2 linked regions of the Tamandua tetradactyla genome follow. The protein of the gene in region 1 purifies or fractionates together with the protein of each later gene. This does not show direct contact. Links are inferred from orthologs where the notes say so. Each region holds a gene or a part of one and is shown on either strand. Other genes may lie near its edges. The genes, in order: BAG5 and DNAJB1.

The links.
Region 2: the proteins of BAG5 (region 1) and DNAJB1 purify together in Homo sapiens (affinity purification with mass spectrometry; 3 studies listed by BioGRID and IntAct, with this or other methods). This does not show direct contact. The link is inferred for Tamandua tetradactyla from reciprocal best matches to the Homo sapiens genes BAG5 and DNAJB1.

Annotation. Positions count from the first base shown.
Region 1 is NC_135340.1:89,303,334-89,313,274, forward strand, and holds the start of BAG5 (BAG family molecular chaperone regulator 5), read left to right. Parts: upstream 1-5,813; 5' UTR 5,814-5,934; intron 5,935-6,068; exon of another isoform or gene 6,069-6,388; intron 6,389-8,134; 5' UTR 8,135-8,162; coding exon 8,163-9,506; 3' UTR 9,507-9,941. Other genes in the region: COA8 (cytochrome c oxidase assembly factor 8), read right to left, coding at 5,449-5,571. UniProt on the Homo sapiens protein: Co-chaperone for HSP/HSP70 proteins. It functions as a nucleotide-exchange factor promoting the release of ADP from HSP70, thereby activating HSP70-mediated protein refolding.
Region 2 is NC_135337.1:88,456,474-88,465,892, forward strand, and holds DNAJB1 (dnaJ homolog subfamily B member 1), read left to right. Parts: upstream 1-4,783; 5' UTR 4,784-4,877; coding exon 4,878-5,088; intron 5,089-5,982; coding exon 5,983-6,563; intron 6,564-6,855; coding exon 6,856-7,086; 3' UTR 7,087-8,270; downstream 8,271-9,419. UniProt on the Homo sapiens protein: Interacts with HSP70 and can stimulate its ATPase activity. Stimulates the association between HSC70 and HIP. Negatively regulates heat shock-induced HSF1 transcriptional activity during the attenuation and recovery phase period of the heat shock response.

The sequences.
Region 1 (9,941 bases):
AATACAAAATATGGATAAAAGAAATAAACAAATAGGGGGAACAAAGGTTAAAATACATTGGGGAGATAGAAATACTAGAGGTTAATGAGAGGGCGAGGTAAGGGGTATGGATGTATGAGTTTTTTTCTTTTTTCTTTTTCTGAAGTGATACAAATGTTCTAAAAAACATGGTGATGAATACACAACTATGTGATGATATAGTGAGCCACTGATTGTACACCATGTATAGAATGTTTTATGTTAGGAATGTTTATATTTATATGTTATTTTACCAATAAAAATATTTTTTAAAAAAAGGACAGTAGTTCAGGACCACGTTGGGTTTATACTAGGAGTGCAAAGTTAGTTTAATAGAAAATGAATGGATGAAAAAACACACCACCAATGAAGTAGTCTTTCAAAAGAAAAACAAAAGTGACATTAAACCTGAATGTGGGGAAGGCTCCTGTAAGCGCTAGCATGCAGCTGTCAATTCCCAGGAAATTCTGAAGAGCAGAGAAGCACGTAAAATTACACCATTGGGGATATAGTCCAGACTGGGAAATTCTCGCGGACATATAATCTTTTCTTTAAACAAACTGCTTAAAAAGGGCAGGAGAAATAAAGTTAGAACTACAAATTAAGGAGATCAAAAATATCAATGACAATGTGTAGGTTGTATTTGGATCCTGACACAAACTGTGAAAGAAAATACGACATTTCTAAGACAGTAGAAGAGATCTGAGCACTGATTATACTATCTGATGAAATTAAGGAATTATAATGTTTCCAAGTGTGAAAAGGTATAGTGTTTACGTTTTTTTGTCTGAATCTTTTAAAGATATACAGTCAAATACAGATGAAATGTGATTTTTTTATATTTGCCAAAAAATAAATAATAAATAATAAGGAACAGGGAGGGAATGGATGGAGGTAAAAATGAAATAAACAGCATGGATAATTGCTGAAGCAGGGAAATGGATACTTAGTGATTCATGACATTCTTCTGTCACCCTTCGTATATGTTTGAAATTTTCCACAATCAAAAAATAACAAAAAAAGAAAAAGAAAATCAATACAATTCTCCACATTACCAAAATAAAGAGAAAAATCAGATAATCATTTTAGTAGATGAAGAAAAAGCATTTGATAAAATTAGATTACTGGCCTGGGAGTCAAAAACCAAGGTTTCAGTCCTGACTATGCTGTACAACACCAGGCAAACCACTGCACTTCTCTGGGCCCCAACTGCCTCATCTATAAAATAAACTACAAGCTTTTTAAAGGTTCCTCCTGCCCCAGTTTTTGTTTTAGCAACTATTTATTGAAAGCCATTTAAATACTAAAAATATCCATGTTAGACTTGAAAATTCCATGCCCAAAACCTCTCACCAGGTTCTCATTTACCTCAGTTTTAACTTCTTCCTTACGATGTTTATTCTGAATCCATACTTTGGGGTTTGAAGATCATTCTCCTTAATGAAAAAGTAGCAAAATAAAAAAGTTGATATACTTTTTTTTTTTGCATGGGCAGGCACGAGGAATCAAACCCAGGTGTCCGGTATGGCAGGAGGGAACTCGCCCTGTTGAGCCACCGTGGCCTCCCAGATGTTAATACACTTTTAATGCTAAATGTTAATATACAGTCAAAAAATGTTAACTATGCCTAAAAATGTTAATAAAATTCAGGACTACAAGCAAACATTAATGATTCTCATACTTGGCAGCTTATGAGACACACTCTTAAAAATCCTGACATCCAGGCCATACCCTAGGCTCAGTCAAGTCAGAATCACCGGAATGGGCCTCAATATTTATTTTAAAGCCTTCCAGGTTATTTTGGAACTCTGTACTTTATGCATGGTTTTCCTGTAAACCTACAATTTCTTTAAAATAAAGGAAAATGCATTCCAGGTGATTCTAATGCAAGACTAGTTTAGGAACCAATGATAAAAACCACAGCAGCATACATGGTACAAGCAGGCAGGAAGTGACTACTGACACTTAAGAGGTGAGTTTTAATATGGGGTTGGAAGGAAGAACAGTGCCTAACTCTAAATTCTATATTTTTCTCTTAAAACCTGGTGTCCAGAGGTCCCAGATGGGAACACAGGACTCCTTAACTAAAAAAGTGAGGGCAAAGCCAAGAACTAATAAAAAATATGGCTTGCTCCCCCTTCGGGGAATGGTGAGAGTTGGGAGAAATTCAACTTCCCTAAGAGATATTCTCACAAACAGTGTGGACAACCAAAGCTATAGGCTGAGCCCCCAGTCCTTGGGTTTGTTCACATGAAACTTAACCCCACAAAGGATAGGTCAATTCTACTTAAAATTTAGGCCTAAGAGTTACCCCCAAGAGAGCCTCTTTTGTTGCTCAGATGTGGCCCCTCTCTCCAGCCAACATGACAAGCAGTCTCATCACGCTCCCCCTCTCTGCGTGGGACATTACTCCCAGGGGTGTCGACCTTCCTGGCAACGTGGGACAGAGATCCTGGAATGAGCTGAGACTCAGCATCAAAGGACTGAGAAAAACCCTAGAATGAGCTGAGAATTAACATCAAGGGATTGAGAGAAACTTCTCAACCAAAGGGGGAAGAGTGAAATGAGACTAAGTGTCAATGGCTGAGAGATTCCAAACAGAGTCGAGAGGTTATCCTGGAGGTTATTCTTATGCATTAAGTAGATATCACCTTGTTGTTCAAGATGTAGTGGAGCGGCTGGAGGGAACTGCCTGAAAATGTAGAGCTGTGTTCCAGTAGCCATGTTTCTTGATGATGATTGAACAATGATATAGCTTTCACAATGAGACTGTGAATGTGAAAACCTTATGTCTGATGCTCCTTTTAGCTACTATATCAACAGAAGAGTAGAACATATGGAATAAAAATAAAGAATGGGGGAACAAATGTTAAAATAAATTCAGTTTGAAAGAGTGGTAAATGAAAGCGAGGGGTAAAGGGAATGGTATGTATAGTCTTTTTTTTCTCTATTATCATTTTATTTCTTTTTCTGTTGTCTTTTTATTTTTTTTCTAAATCGATGCAAATGTACTAAGAAATGATGAATATGCAACTATGTGATGATATTAAGAATTACTGATTGTATATGTAGAATGGAATGGTATCTAAATGTTTTTGTTTGTTAATTTTTTTTAATTAATAAAAAAAGACATTATTGGGATATAATAAAAATCGGAATATAGACTATAAGCTTTATGTCAATGTTAACTTTCTTGAACTTGACAGCTGTACTCAAGTGGTCAAATAAGTGAATATCCTTGATTTTAGGAAAAGTAAAAAGGCAATTTTCAGTGTTCAAGTTTAAATTATATGACCTACACTCAGGTGTTCCGGAAATGGATTGATAAATAGACAGACAGATAGATGATGATGATGATAGATAGACAGATAGATAGATAGATAGATAGATAGATAGATAGATAGATAGATAGATAGATAAAGGATGATACAACAAATGTAGCAAAATGTTAAAATAGTGGGATGTGGGTATCTAGGAGGAGGGAGGGATATTTTGGGGTATTTTTTATTATTTTTGTAACTGACTTGTAAGTTGGAAAGTATTTCAAAATAGAAAGTCAAAAACAAACAAACAAAAAAATATGGCTGGGGCAGGCCACGGTGGCTCAGCAGGCAAGAACACTTGCCTGGAATGCCAGAGGACCCAGGTTTGATTCCCGGTGCCTGCCCATGTATTAAAAAAAAAAAAAAAAAAAATATGGCTTGCTAGACAGGAAGGATTAAAAGGTAACAACTAGATAAAGAAAACAAGATTCACAACCTGTTACTTTTAACAAGATACATTTAAATTTCTAGACTGAAAGACAGCAATCTCTCTCAGCTGCAGGTATGTCATTACCTGGAGAAACTGCTGTGCTCTCAGGAGCCATACAAAGACGATAACACATAGGAAATACAAATCGCCCTAAGCAAAAACTGTTCTTTTATGTTGCATACAATATCTAGCTAATAGGGAACTCAAGTTCTAAGAAAAACAACACAAGTCACCATGCTAGATTTGGGCAAGACCTGACTCACTGGCCAGCCACTCCACTTTTTATCTGGTCAGCACCATCGTCACAATCGTCACCTTCAGCAGGTTTAGGGAAGCCAGCAGGTGCCCACACAGGGCTTGCTGTAAGTCACTGAGACTACAAAAGGCAGAGAGAGGCCTCACCCTGAGTATCAGACCCAGGGTAAGACTTATCTCACTTGAAGGAAAGGCCTTTATGACAACAGAGAAATCCTGGCTTGTGCGTCCTTCTTCTGTTTTCCAGGACTCCTAGTTCATCAAGCAGCCTAGGTAAGTCCTCGCCATGGGCAAAGTTCTCGGTTGATTTCTAGTTTGCCTTCCGAGAGGATTTTCAAGATACCTGTTTTATCTTTCTGTTCAAGGAAATAAGGTGCTGGGTAAATTTCTGTGTCATAGGATAGAGCCAGGGCTGTGGTCTGGTTAACTACCTGCCAGCGTAAGGCCTTGCCTAAACTGTAAGCCAGGACAGAAGTTCAAAACCGGCATTTATAAAAGTGTGCTAAAAGCCACAGAGCAATAGAAATGAACATTTAAAAGGCACGCACGTTTTGGAATTCTTAACTTTTTTTTCATCCTTTAATTATTGTTCCTATCAAGCTTTCCAGCTCCCCACATTAACCCCTTGCTAAATAATGTGTTAGTATTTGTTTGATTTGTTTAAATATTTTATCTGCAGCCCATTCCACACCATTAGTCAACATTTTCATCTGACAGCTGCAATCAAGGCCTCCGCCTCCTTTAAACCAAATATACTTCACAACAAAAGTGCAATTTATGAAAGCTGCTTGCCTCTCTTGCTATAGACATACTTCGTGGATCTTTGGGCAGTCAAGTGTATATATGCCCATAGAGCTTCCAAATAAGAATAACGATTCAAAGTGAAGCCCTACAAAAGTTGGATGATAAAGCTCGCCATCGCTGGGAAAAAAGCACTAATTATCTTAACGGAGTCAAGGCACGAGAACGAAAAGTTACCCGCTGACCACACCAAGAGCTCTTCAAATATACAATATAAATACCCTCGAGAATAAAACAGGTGCGTCCAAACTTGCTGACTACCTTAGACTAACAAAAGCGCAGTCAGCTTTCCCCCATGGAGGTGGCCGGCATACTCAGATTCATCTAGACCAAGGAGGGGACGCAGGAACTTTCGCAGCTACTGACCTAATCCGGATGGGGGTCCCGGCGCCCCTCGCCCAGGACCTCCCCATTCTCCATGCCCCCGACCCACTCGGTCGCGCGTGCTGCTCTGCACCAGCCCCGGGCCGGCTGGGGGACCCTGCTCCCGAGGGCCTCAGTCCTCTCCGCAGGGGTCCACGCGGGTGTGAGGGGTCGAGGAGCGGGCCTCAGGGCACAGACCGGCTCCTCACCTCTTGCGGTCACCCCTCCCGACCTAACCTCTCCGTGCTCCCCGCTTACTCGGCTCGGCGCCGCATCCCTGCGCTCGGCGCCGCGCTCAAGGGCCGGCTGGCGGCCGGGACCCGCCAAAGTGCGGAACAGAAGAGGAAGGGAAGTCTTCCTCGGGGGCCTTAGGGCCCCCATTGCCCCGCGTACACGGCTCCCGCGGCGCACGACAGCGGCGCGACGGCGAGGAAGCTGCCTTACGGCAGGATCGCAAAGCCGGAGGCGGGGGGCGGAGCGCGGCCGACTGAGCGCTTCCCCGCGGTGTGAGGGGTCGAGTGGACAGCGGGGCTGCGGGGTCGCGCTGCTGGATCCCGGCGGCTCTTCGGTGGCCGGGGTGGCTCCGGGCTGCTGTGCCTGACGGCTGGCGGCGGGGCGCGGCGCGGTGAGGCGCGGGGGCCAGAGGGCGTTTTTCCCGGGCTTGGCGGCGCTCGGCCCGGGGCGGAGCTGCGACAGGGGTGGCGGTGCAGAGGTGCAGAGGTCGCGATGGCGCGGACCGGACGGGTGAGCGTGGCGCAGCCCTGCGGGGACGCGGCGCCGTCTCCCTCGGCCGGGGCGGCGGGCGCGGTCTGCTCTCTGCGCGGGGCTCGCCGCGGGCCGGCCCCAGCTCCCGGAGCCGTACTCCGCGCGGCCTTGCGCACTGGCCGGGCCTCCCGGATGGGCTTCCGGGCTCCGAGCGCCGCTGCCCCCTCTCCGCGCGGGCCCATTGTGAGGTCAGAGCCGGCCGGCCCGTCCTGGGGCCCGGGCCGAGACGCCCGGAGAGGCCGCTGCGGCCAGTAGCTGCCGCCTCCGCCGCCGGCCCCTTCACCGGCTTCCCCTTTCAGACCTAGCGGGGCGGGGTGAGAGGGATGCAGCTTGGGGCCCAGCTCCGGTCCCTCACCCCGTAGAGGGCTGATCTTACACCTCGCCACCTCACCTACGGGAAGCCAAGGCCGCAACCAGCTTAGATCTTTCCTGGGTAAAGTTCGGAGGGGGAAGGGTGAGGAGGGAGGCAGGAACGCAGGCTGCCCTTCGTGGGCGTCGGGAAGGCCTGCGTGGTTCCGACGCCCACACGGAATTGGTTTCAATCGATTATTCTTCAGTGAGCCGTTCGGTAGAAACCCGAGGATACACACAAAAGGGGTTAAGCCATTTTGGACCCTAATGGGAGGCGAGCGAATTCATCGGAGCCGAGTCACGTTTCTGCGGGGTGTTTTTTGTTGTGTTGTTTTCTGTTTGTTTAGGAGGGGCGCGTAGTAGAGCCTGGGGAAGTCCTGATCCGCCAGAGCCCAAGGTTGAGCCTTCACTCTTCCTTTCCCCACGGGATTTTCTTTCTGCTGGGAAGATAGGGTGCGGTTGGATTTGAAAAACCGGGTAGCTTTGGAGAAGTGCATAAAGGGACGGAAAGGAATGTGGAAACGGGCACATTTAGGGTGTTTGAGAATTTCTGGTACTTGTTTCCAGTGGCTCCGTTCCTCTTGGTTAAAGTTACTTTTTCTGGAAATTGATTAGTGTTTGGAAGGCTAGTAAAGCTAGTTTTACTCCCCCATTCTTTATGTTCCGCAGAGATGCCCTGCTGGTGTCCAAAAAATAGCTTCCTAACTTAAGACCTAAAATATTTGTGTTATTTCCAAGCTAATAGTTAGCCCTCACGTCATTCTTTTTTTATTGACAAACCAAAACAACATACAAATACGAACATTCTTAACATACAAACATTCCATATATAGTGTACAATCAATGGCTCACGATATCGTCACACAGTAGTGAATTCATCACCATGATCGTTTTTTAGAACATTTACATCATTCCAGAAAAAGAAATAAAAAGAAAAAATTCATACATACTATACCTCTTACCCCTCCCTCTCATTGACCACTAGTATTTCCATCTACCCAATATATTTTAACCTTTGTTTCCCCTGTTTTTTTCTGTACCCCTTACTGCTACTCCCTTTCATTGATCGCTAGTATTTCAATCTACTCAACTTATTTTAACATTTGTTCCCCATTATTTATTTATTTTTAATTCATATTTTTAACTCATCTGTCCATACCGTAGATAAAAAGAGCATCAGACACAAGGTTTTCACAATCACACAGTCACATTGTGAAAGCTGTATCATTATACGATCATCCTTAAGAAACGTGGCTACTGGAACACAGCTCTACAGTTTCAGGCACTTCCCTCTGGCCTCTCTAATACACATTAAACTAAAAAGGGCCTCTTGACTCTGAAATCTGTCAGCCACTGACACTTTATTTTGTCTTACTTCTCTCTTCCCCCTTTCAGTCCAGAAGGATTTCTCAGTCCCTTGGTGCTGAGTCCCAGCCCATTCTAGGATTTCTGTGCCACACTGCTGGGAAGGTCCACACCCCTGGGAGTCATGTCCCATGTAGAGAGGGGGGAGATGCCATACTTCTCTAGGAGAGCATATGCTGTTCTCTTCCAGCTGAAGAAACTTGAAGCTGACAGAATTCCAGCTCATGCTCTAACTACAGTGATGCTGTTTATGATCTCTGCCATGTGTAGGTTATTTTCAGGAGAAAGAGTTGATGTGTCACCCTTCTTTCTGTACTTGAGTATGTCTGTCTTTGGGATTACAATAATGATAAGCCCTTTTATTCTAAGTATATTTTTAAGTGAAAATTTTAGACTTAATATATGATTGCCATTCTGCAGAGACTTTGTGCTGTAATAAGTTATCATTCTTGTCATCTTTTAGTGCTTGTGAAACTGAAAGCAACAAAAGTATGGATATGGGAAATCAACACCCTTCTATTAGTAGGCTTCAGGAAATCCAAAAGGAAGTGAAAAGTATAGAACAGCAAGTAATTGGCTTCAGTGGTGTGTCAGATGACAAGAATTACAAGAAACTAGAGCGAATTCTAACAAAACAGCTTTTTGAAATAGACTCTGTAGATACCGAAGGAAAAGGAGATATTCAGCAAGCTAGAAAGAGGGCGGCACAGGAGACTGAGCGTCTTCTTAAAGAATTGGAGCAGAATGCAAACCACCCACATCGGGTGGAAATACAGAATATTTTTAAGGAAGCCCAGTCCTTGGTGAAAGAAAAGATTGTGCCATTCTATAGCGGAGGCAACTGTGTAACTGATGAATTCGAAGAAGGCATCCAGGATATCATTTTGAGACTGACACACGTTAAAACTGGAGGAAAGATCTCATTGCGGAAAGCGAGGTATCACACTTTAACCAAAATCTGTGCTGTGCAAGAGATCATTGAAGACTGCATGAAGAAGCAGCCTTCCTTGCCACTTTCAGAAGATGTACATCCGTCAGTTGCCAAAATTAACTCTGTGATGTGTGACGTGAACAAGGCTAGAGGCACTCTGATTGCACTTCTGATGGGCGTGAACAGCAACGAGACCTGCAGGCACTTATCCTGTGTGCTCTCGGGGTTGATTGCCGATCTGGATGCTTTAGATGTGTGCGGGCGTACAGAAATCAGGAATTATCGAAGGGAAGTAGTAGAAGATATCAACAAATTATTGAAATATTTGGATTTAGAGGAGGAAGCAGACACTACATATGCTTTTGACCTGGGTCAGAATCATTCCATTTTAAAAATTGAAAAGGTCCTCAAGAGAATGAGAGAAATAAAAAATGAACTTCTTCAAGCACAGAATCCTTCTGAATTGTATCTGAGCTGCAAAATGGAACTGCAGGGTTTGATTGGACAGTTGGACGAGGTAAGTCTTGAAAAAAACCCTTGCATCCGAGAAGCCAGGAGAAGAGCTGTGATTGAAGTGCAAACTCTGATAACTTATATCGACTTGAAGGAAGCCCTTGAGAAGAGAAAGTTATTTGTTTCTGAGGAGCACCCATCACACAAAGCAGTCTGGGACGTCCTTGGAAACTTGTCAGAGATCCAAGAGGAAGTTCTTTCGTTTGGTGGAAATCGGACCGATAAGAATTATATTCGATTGGAAGAACTGCTCACGAAGCAGCTGCTGGCCCTGGATGCTGTTGATCCACAAGGAGAGGAGAAGTGCAAGGCTGCCAGGAAGCAGGCTGTGAAGCTCGCGCAGAACATTCTCAGCTATCTCGACCTGAAATCCGATGAATGGGAGTACTAAAATGCCAGACATCTCACTTCTGATATCGCTTGTTTTGCACTTTATATACACTGCTATGTATTTATAGAGAGCTTTCAGTTCATTGAGCCTAAATATGATTTATACGTGCATTTCTCAACCTCAGTATTTATGATTCAAGCAAATTATATTCAGTATCTTTGCTGCTGTTGATGTTGCAAAACAAATATTATAGCACATTAACTTTGCCATTTTGGTCCTTATCTGTATGATATGGTATGGCTTGATTTTGGTTTTGGGCTGTTTTTCTTCTCATCAAAATCTGGAATAGAGGCAACTTTTGTAATCAACTTTTAAAATGGGTGGTTACAAACATTAAAATGCAGATATTTCAGAATATTCAAAAAAGTATAATCTTAAACAATGCTAAAAAAATTGTGAGAAAAGCGAACATTTTTCATTAGATATAGTAAGGTC
Region 2 (9,419 bases), on another chromosome or scaffold:
TTGGCTTATTCTTATTCTAGACATTTCCTGTAAGCAAAATCATGTAATATTATTCCTTCTGTGTCTGGCTTATTTCACTCAACATGGCATCTTCAAGATTTATCCGTGTTGTCACACGTCAGAAATTCACTCCTTTTTATGGCCAAATAATATCCCATGGTACATAAACATCACATTTTGTCGATCCATTCATCTGCAATGGACATTTGAGTTCCTTGCACCTTTGGGCTATTGTGAATATGTTTCTTTGGTTTTTTTCATTGAGGTATAATTTACATACAGCAAAATTCACCCAGATCAGTGTATAGTTCTGAACATACACAATCACATAACTTCTACCACAAGCAAGCTATAGAAACATATTTCCACCACCCCAAAAGATTCCCTCATGCCCCTTTATAACCAGCCACAGCCCTGGTAACCACTGGCCTGCTTTCAGTAGCTATAGTTTTGCCTTTTCCAAAAGTTCCTATGAATGGAATCATACATCAGGCAGCATGTTTGTTTGTTTTTTAAACTATTTTTTATTGATATCTTTACACATCACACAGTCCATCCAAAGTATATAATCAGTGGCTCACAATATCATCACATAATTGTGTATCCATCACCATGATCAATTTTAGAACATTTGCATCACTCCAGAAAAAGAAATAAAAAGGAATGAGAAAAACCCATACATCCCATACCCCTTCTCATTGACCACTAGTATTGCAATCTACCCTTTTTTTTTTTTACCCTTTGTCTCCCTTATTATTTATTTTTTTGTCTTGTTTTTTTTCACTCCTCTGTCCATACCCTGGATAAAGGGAGCATCAACCACAAGGTTTTCGCAATCACACGGTCACAGTGTAAAAGCTATATAGTTATATAATCATCTTCAAGAATCAAGGCTACTGGAATATGAAATACAGTTCAACGGTTTCAGGTAATTCCCTCCAGCCACTCTAATACACCATACACTAAAAAAGGATATCTATATAATGCATAAGAATAACCTCAAGGATAGCTTCTCAACTCTGTTTAAAATCTCTCAGCCACTGACACTTTATTTTTTCTCATTTCTCTCTTCCCCTTTTGATCAAGAAAACTTTCTCAATCCTGTGATGCCAGTCCCAGCTCATCCCAGGAGTTCTTTCACACACTGCCAGGGAGATTTACACCCCTGGGAGTCATGTCCCACATAAGGCAGAGGGCAGTGAGTTCACCTACTGAGTTGGCTTAGAGAGAGAGGCCCCATCTGAGTAACGAAAGAGGTTCTCTGGGGATGACTCTTAGGCATTATTATAAGTAGGCTTTAGCTTCTCCTTTGAGGCAATAAGTTTCATAGGGGCAAACCCCAAGATCAAGGGCTCGGCCTATTAAATTGGTTGTCCCCACTGCTTGCGAGAATATCAGGAATTCCCCAGGAGGGGAAGTTTAAGATTTCCTCCTTTCTCCCCAGTTCCTCCAGGGGGCTTTGCAAATACTTTTTTATTCTCGTAGATGGATTTTTGAGTCTGGCTTCTTTCACTAAACACAATGCATTTGAGGTTTGTCTGCATTGTTTCATGTAGCAGTCACCAGTTCTTTTTTATAGCAGAGTAGTATTCCTTCATACATACAGATCACATTCGTTTATCCACTAACTCATTGGAGGACATTCCGGTTATTTCCTTTTGGTGATTATAGACAAAACCACAGTGAGCACCCACGGCGGATATGAACAGACTTCATTTCACTCAGGTGTTTCACGGGAGTGGGATTTCCAGATCATACGGCCGGCTTGCTCTTGAAAGTCTTTGGATGTACAGGTGAACAGTTGATGCACTTGTAAGGCTATTTTTTTTTAATTAAAGCTCTATTATCACCTGCATTACATACTACTTAAGTATGCCAAGCCTGCTACGCTTCAGCACTTTACTGAATGGGTAACCTTAGACAAGTCATGTAACCATTCAGGGCCTCAGTTTTCCACCTGTAAAATGGAGGTAACACTAGTTCCACTTCAGAGGCTGTCCGGCAGCTTAAATGAATTCATGCATGAACACGCCTGGCACAAAGCACAGCCAGGTCAGCAGCAGCTGTCATTAAAATATTAATTACCCGGCCTCTCTCACATGGTCCACCTAGCAACCTCAGCAGGGACCGTCCTCCCTTATTCCCATTTTACAGAGGAGTGACCTGAAGCTCCAAAAGATCAAGCAAGTTGTGTAAGATCAATGAGTCAGTAAAGAAGCATAAACAATGGGTCCAGGATTTGCACAGTGGCAGGCTGACCTCAGCCCTGCCCTCTTAGCTTCTCAGAGAGCCCAAGATTGGCTGAGGTTTCCACGGAGGCCACTTTCCCTGTACTATTCTGAAATGACCACTCATTTGCCTAGGTCAAAGGAGAGCTTTGTTTTTTTTAAAAAAAAAAAAAACTTCTAAAACGTGTCCCTGGCTTGTTTCAGGAGGAAGGGAGTGACCCGTGGCCCAGCGTTTCCTTGCCCTCGGGTCTGGAAAGAACCATTTGTAAAACCAGAGCCAAGTTAAGTCCTGGCTAAGACCTATGGAGGCCAAAACATCAGCAAAAAGATGTCACTGCCACATTTGTAACTCCCAATTACGTCACACTATAAAATCCTAGAGTGTAAGGAAGTCCATAAAGCTCTGTTTTGTTCCCCCACGATGGTGACTCGCCTCCTATTCAGCTATTATTTGTTTACATAACTTTTTTTAAACATTTTTTTATTATGAAATATAACATATACCAAAAAGCAATAAATTTCATAGTACAATGGAACAAATAGAACAGATTTCAATTATTGCTTTGGGTTACAGTTTCACAATTTTAGGTTTTTCCTTCTAGCTGTTCCAAGACACTGGAGATTAAAAGAAATACCAATATAACCATTCAGCAATCATACTCATTTGTTAAATCCTGTCTTCTCTGTTATAACTCCTCCTTCTCCTTTGATGCTTCTGCCAATCTTTAGGGGTATTTGGGCTATGCCCATTCTAGCTTTTTCATGTTGGAAAGGGCTATCAGCAGTATAGGATAAGGGAATGGAACTAGTTGATGTTCTTGGAGAGGCTGGCCCCTCTGGGTTTCAGGACTTATCTGGCCTAGGAGCCCATCTGGAGGTTATAGGTTTCAGGAAAGTTACTCGAGTGCATGGAACCTCTGTAGAAGCTCAGATAAAGTTCTTTAAGGTTGGCAGGAATGGTTTTGGTTGGGGTTTGGCAAACCTAGGTAAATAGCAATATTTCACTGAAGCTTGCATAAGAATAGCCCCCAGAATAGCCTCTCCAATCAATATTCACACAACTTTTTAAGTATCAAATTCTCTCTCCCTTATAACTGGTTCAGGACCCTTGCCCTGTCCTAGTCCAAAGTCTTTGCTGACAGGGTTTTCTTGGGGTCAGTGAGTGGGCAGGGAGGTCCAGGCACCAGGAGAAGGCTGCTGGGTTTTCTTTCTTGGAAATCTCAGCCTGCACCAGAGCAGGCAAGCAGTCACCAGAGGTTTTGCTGTGATGCTGCCCAGGAACGGGGTGGCTCAGCAGCCCACCACTGAACAAACTGGTAATTCACCCTTTTCACAGCTGTCCTCAGCACTTGACAAATGTCAACTCTTGTAAACTTCAGAACAAAAGATACAACAGTTATCCCATTGTACAGATGGCACAACTGAGGCTGAGAACAGTCAAGGACCCAGCCGAAACTCACGCAGCCAGGAAGTGCTGGAACTGGGAATCAGACTCCACCTTCTGGCTCCAGAGGCTCTAGAGCGCTGGCCTCCTGGGCTGTCCTCCAGAACCGCCGTTCACCCTGGCCCTTCTTCCCTACGCCTCTTTCCGCACCGCTTTTCCTCATCAATTCTGTCCTTGGTCAGGGGCACGCCAAACTCAGACTGTTCCACACATGAGCAAATGGAAGCACTGAGAGCTGTGTCCATCCCCCAAATCAAAAAGGTAGTGGGGAGAGAAAAAGAAGCAGCTGCGTCCGAGCAACCAGGAATATTTATGAAAGGTGCACAGCTGGCCAGATTTTGTCCCAGGCACCGGGTCCCAGTGGAGACCGGACCAGGTCCCTGCCCTGGCAGAGGCCACAGGCCCCGGGGTTTGTGTGGGGGGGGTCAGGATGAAAGCCAAGGGGCCAGATTATTTCAGATTTCAGTGGCAGGTGCTTTTGAGATATCGGTCAAAGCAAAATGTAGGAGGGAAGGGACTGGAACACTTCTCCGGAAAGGTGACCTTTGCATCACCTGTATGGTGAGGTCAGGGGTATTTTTTATGCCCATATTACAGGGGGCGGGGTGGGGCTGGGGGGTGGGGCTGGGGAAAGGAGAGGCACTGCCACTCCCCCTGAGCCACCCGGCGGGGCCCTGGGATTTGGCGGGCCGGCGGATTAAACAGCTCCTGGGGACCCGGCGGAACATATTCGGAGGGCGGGCCCACAGCTAGTCCCGCCCCTTCCCGGCGAGGGCGGCCGGTCGTAGGGTGGGAGCGCGTCATCACTCGCGGAGTCGCGCAGAGGGCGGGGCTCGCGGCCAGCCTAGCCGGCGGGCGGGGCGGAAGCAAACCCCGATTGGCTCTCCCGGGGGAGAGCTGGGCGGGGCCGCCTCCAGCCGGGGGGGAGGACGCGCCGCAGCGAGGCGTTGCCGAGGCTGCTGGCGGGAGGGGCGGGGCCGCGCGCCGTCGGCCGTTGGCGGCACAGCCCCGCCCCGGACGTCGCGCGTCGCGGGGCGGGCGGCGGCGATTGGCCGGCGCAGTGCGGGGGGCGGGGCGGAAGGTTCTGGAGGGGGCTGGCGGGCTCTGGAAGCTTCCGCCGGGCGGGTATATACAGTCTGGGAGCGGGCGGCGGCGGCGGAGCCGGGGCGCGGCAAAAGCGGGGCGGCGGGCCGCAGACGGGGGCTATGGGCAAGGACTACTACCAGACGCTGGGCCTGGCCCGCGGCGCGTCGGACGAGGAGATCAAGCGGGCCTATCGCCGCCAGGCGCTGCGCTACCACCCGGATAAGAACAAGGAGCCCGGCGCCGAGGAGAAGTTCAAGGAGATCGCCGAGGCCTACGACGTGCTCAGCGACCCGCGCAAGCGCGACATCTTCGACCGCTACGGGGAGGAAGGTGTGTGCGTGCGGCCGAGGCGCGCCTCCGCCGTTTGACAGGCGGGGAAACCGAGGCTTGGGGGGCGATCCCAGCCTGCCCGGGGAGCTGCCGCCGCCGCCTGCCCGCGGGGTCCCCGCCCTGGGAGGAGGAGCCCTGGCTGCGCTGCTCGCCCAGAAGCTTCTAGCAAGCCCGGGCTACTCCTCCCTGGGCGCCGCCGCCCACGGTCCCGGGTGCACCTGGCTTCACCTGGGCGCACCTGGGCCCGCGGCCCGCATAGGGCACGACCTGCGGGGAGGGGGCGCCTATCGCCCCCCCCCCGCCCCCCGCGGGCGACTGCGGTGTTCACCGGGCCCGGCACGTAGGAGAGGCGGGCTAGGATGGCCCTCCTCAGGGGGAAGAGAAAGAGATTTTCCTGTTGTCCACTTGCCCCTTGGTGACTCACCCTGGCTTTTGGGCTCAAGAAATGAGCCGACTTTGTGTAAGATGGTGGCAGCTAATGTTGGTACAGGATGGTGACAACTTGAAAACGTCAGTTTATTTCTTATTTTTTTCTACTCTTCCCATGCACACCACTAGCCGGAAGATGTCAAGAGCAAACAGGGAGGGCTTATACTGACTCCGGCCTTTGCATCTGGTTTCTGGTAAATCCTTGAAATAACGTTGGTGGGGAGGATGAACCAGCCAAGAGATGGCCTAGCCTGAGTGGCACCGAGGGATGCCCAACCCGGGGCTTAGGCTGGTATCCACTGTCAGTCTCATCTGGTGCTGCAGAGGCTTCGGCTTCTTCCTTGCTTTTCTTAACAGATCCCACAGAATTTGTCTTCGGAGGGTTCCCAAGTTCTTTTCTCTTATGTAAACCTTTCCAGAGAAGTTCTGGCTAGCTGCCTGACAACTTCCGGTTTTGCTTTTCAGGCCTGAAAGGCGGTGGTCCCAGTGGTGGGAGCAGCGGTGGTGCTAATGGTACCTCTTTCAGCTACACGTTCCACGGAGACCCCCATGCCATGTTTGCGGAGATCTTTGGTGGTCGAAATCCCTTTGACAACTTTTTCAGCCAGCGGAACGGAGAGGAAGGCATGGACATCGACGACCCATTCTCCGGCTTCCCCATGGGCATGGGTAGCTTCACCAGCGTGAACTTTGGCCGCTCCCGCCCCTCCCAGGAGCCCTCCAGGAAGAAACAGGATCCTCCTGTCACCCACGACCTCCGGGTCTCGCTTGAAGAGATCTATAGCGGCTGTACCAAGAAAATGAAAATCTCCCACAAGCGACTGAACCCTGACGGAAAGAGCATTCGCAACGAAGACAAGATCTTAACCATTGAAGTGAAGAGAGGGTGGAAAGAAGGGACCAAAATCACCTTCCCCAAGGAAGGAGACCAGACCTCCAACAACATTCCAGCCGACATTGTCTTTGTTTTAAAGGACAAGCCACACAATATCTTTAAGAGAGATGGCTCTGATGTCGTTTACCCAGCCAGGATCAGCCTTCGGGAGGTAAGGTGCTAGGTGGCACAGTGTCTGCGGTGGACAGGGCTATTCTTTGAAGCAGGCAGTATTTCCTCAACAAATAGTTGTAAGGGCTTAGTGTGTGCCGGCCTCAGGGGATATGGCAGTGAACCAGACTGACTAGGGCTCTTTCAGAGTTTTGTCCCAGTGATCTGAGTAGATTTGGAGGCAGGGTCCCAGCTGCAGGGGTCTGATGGATCTCACCTGTCTCCAAACTTCTGGGCAGGAGTAGTGCTTCCTAAGCCATCCTCCATCTAATGTTGTCCATTTGCTTCCCAAGGCTCTGTGTGGCTGCACGGTGAACGTCCCCACCTTGGACGGCAGGACCAAACCCGTCGTTTTCAAAGATGTCATCAGGCCCGGCATGAGGCGAAAAGTTCCTGGAGAAGGCCTCCCCCTGCCCAAAACACCTGAGAAACGCGGGGACCTCATTATTGAATTTGAAGTCATCTTCCCTGAAAGGATTCCCCAGACGTCAAGAACCGTACTGGAGCAGGTTCTTCCTATATAGTCACCTGCACTCCCCAAGGACTGACCAGGGACCTTTCTGGAGCGTGAGGCTTTCTGGACCGTTCTACCAGTTGTGGGCCCATGAGAGGGCGGGGTGGCCCAGGGAGGGCTTTCATACTGCTGAATGTTTTCCAGAGAATATATTACAATCTTTCAAAGTTGTGTGCTAGACTTAAGTGGTTTTTCAAAAGATAGGGTGGTAGGTGGTGGGGAGTGCAGGAAAAGGCACCTGGTTGGCCCCCCTGGGTCCTGCAGCCCCTGCCGGTGTGAGCCCCCCACCCCTCCTCAGCCTACAGGTGGGGCGAGAGGCAAACCCACAGCTGGACTTGATCCTCTGTAGTCCTTTTGCTTGCAGCTGTTGGGGTTGGGTCCAGCCTGCCACCTTAGTTACCAGACCGTATACTCTTCCCATTCCGTTATGTGATCAGTCCGTGTTTTATTCTGTATTTATCTTCAATGTCTTGCTGTTCCCCTGGAGAATGCTGTCTTCTCTTCTGTCATCTCAAATTGAGAACCTAGATTATTTCTACAGTACTGCCTGGCCGGCACTCACAAGCAATATCTCCTTCCAGCGGGACCAAGGGAGCTGGCCTCAAGTGAGTGAGTCGTGCAGACAGCCTCTGCTGCTGGGGTCTGGGGTTCTGGCCGGAGGGTGGAAGAGGCCCTGGGACCCCAGCTCTGGTGAGGCTGAGCGTGTTCATTCACAGCTCACACCCTTTCTTTTCCTGTAAGGCAATCTCCTGGCATACCTGGAGCATTAACAGAAGCCCTGATCAGTTTTTGTTTCCTTCTGAACTAATGGACTCGGGATTCTTTCAAAGGGATCTGATCCTTTTGAATTTTGCACAGCCCTAGTTATAATCCCTTTTGATAAAAGGGTGTTTGCTTCTGATTACAGGAGCACAGTGGATCGCCTGTAAATATGTTTTTATAATTCCATATAAAGTTAATGTGCACACAAACGAAGCCAGTCCTCTACGGGTCCTGCTCTGTATAGGGCCAGGTTGGAATTTGGATGAAATCTTGGGGGAAGGGGGTGTTGGAAGAAGTGTCTGTTCGCCAGAGGCCAGTCTGGTGCTCAGCCCTTCAGATTCGTTGTAAAGTTGCCACTGCCGACAAGACCAAAGCATGTGACCTGTCAATGTGCGGCTAGACAGACGGCATTAAAGACTGATGCTAACCTCAGGGGAGCAGTCTTGTGACTCTGTTTGAGGGCTCTGCTGGCTCAGGGATGGGTGGGAGGGCAGGGGATGGGGTAATAGGGATCTCTGCATGGGCTCAAGTCTCCTGGGCCTGGGGTGAGTGAGTAAACAACCTGCCCAGACTCTAGATGCAGACATCCAAAGAAACCAGAATGCAGTGGATTCAGAGTTGCTTTGGTTCTTTTTATTTGGGGGGGGGGGGGGGGGGCGGGGGTTAAATGTTGGGGCTAAAGTCAAGGGGGAAGAGGGGTTGGCTCCTAGTTCTGTCTTCCAGACATCCCGACTTCCCTGCTCCGGGGCTGGTAATGAGGCCAAGAGGTGAGCCGTTTGCCCACTAAGTACTCATCTGCTCTGTTCTTGCCAGAGCAGGCAGGGTGTCGGGCATGCCTGGCCAAACCAGAACTAGAATTCCAGCAGCTAGGGAGTCGTCCCAGGGCTGGGCCCCACCCCAGAGCAGACCCACTTCCTGCCATGGCTTTATTTTGAGGACGCTGAAGCTGCTTTTTCTTTGTAGCTTGCTTTAAGGAACTTGTTTTATTATAAAGTAAACAGCTACCCTTACTTTAAACATTATTGCTACTTGGGTACAAAAATGTTTCAAAGTCAAAACCTAATTGAGCGGTAGGAGTTATTTTGTCTTCTCACTGAAACAGTTGAATTTCTGAAAACAGTCCAGGGACACACTGCCCAATAAATAGTCTTTGCAATGTAGAAGTGGTCTTTATCAGTTTTATTTAAACTTAAATTCTTAAAAATTCAGTAAAACTTAAAAGTGAAGTTCCTCGGGCATACTAACCACTCATGGCTGTTGGCCGCTATTGGGCAGCCAAACTCTAGCGGGATCTTGCTCAGGTATGATTCTTGAGTCTCTTAAAAAGTAGCCAAGCCAGAAGGCATCATCCTGGGCTGAAGGTGCCCCCTGGAATAAGAGAGCCAAGTGGGACCTTGCTGAAAGATTATTGAGCAACCTTGGGCCCCAGGATCACGGTCCGGCAGAGATGGCCCTGGCCTCAGTGGGCTCCCAGGTCTCCAGGGCTGCCATCCCACCTGGTTCCCTTCATCACAGAGTAGGTCTTCATGAATTTTACATTGGAGTACCTCTGCAACAAAGAGCATGGAGCCTGAAAATACA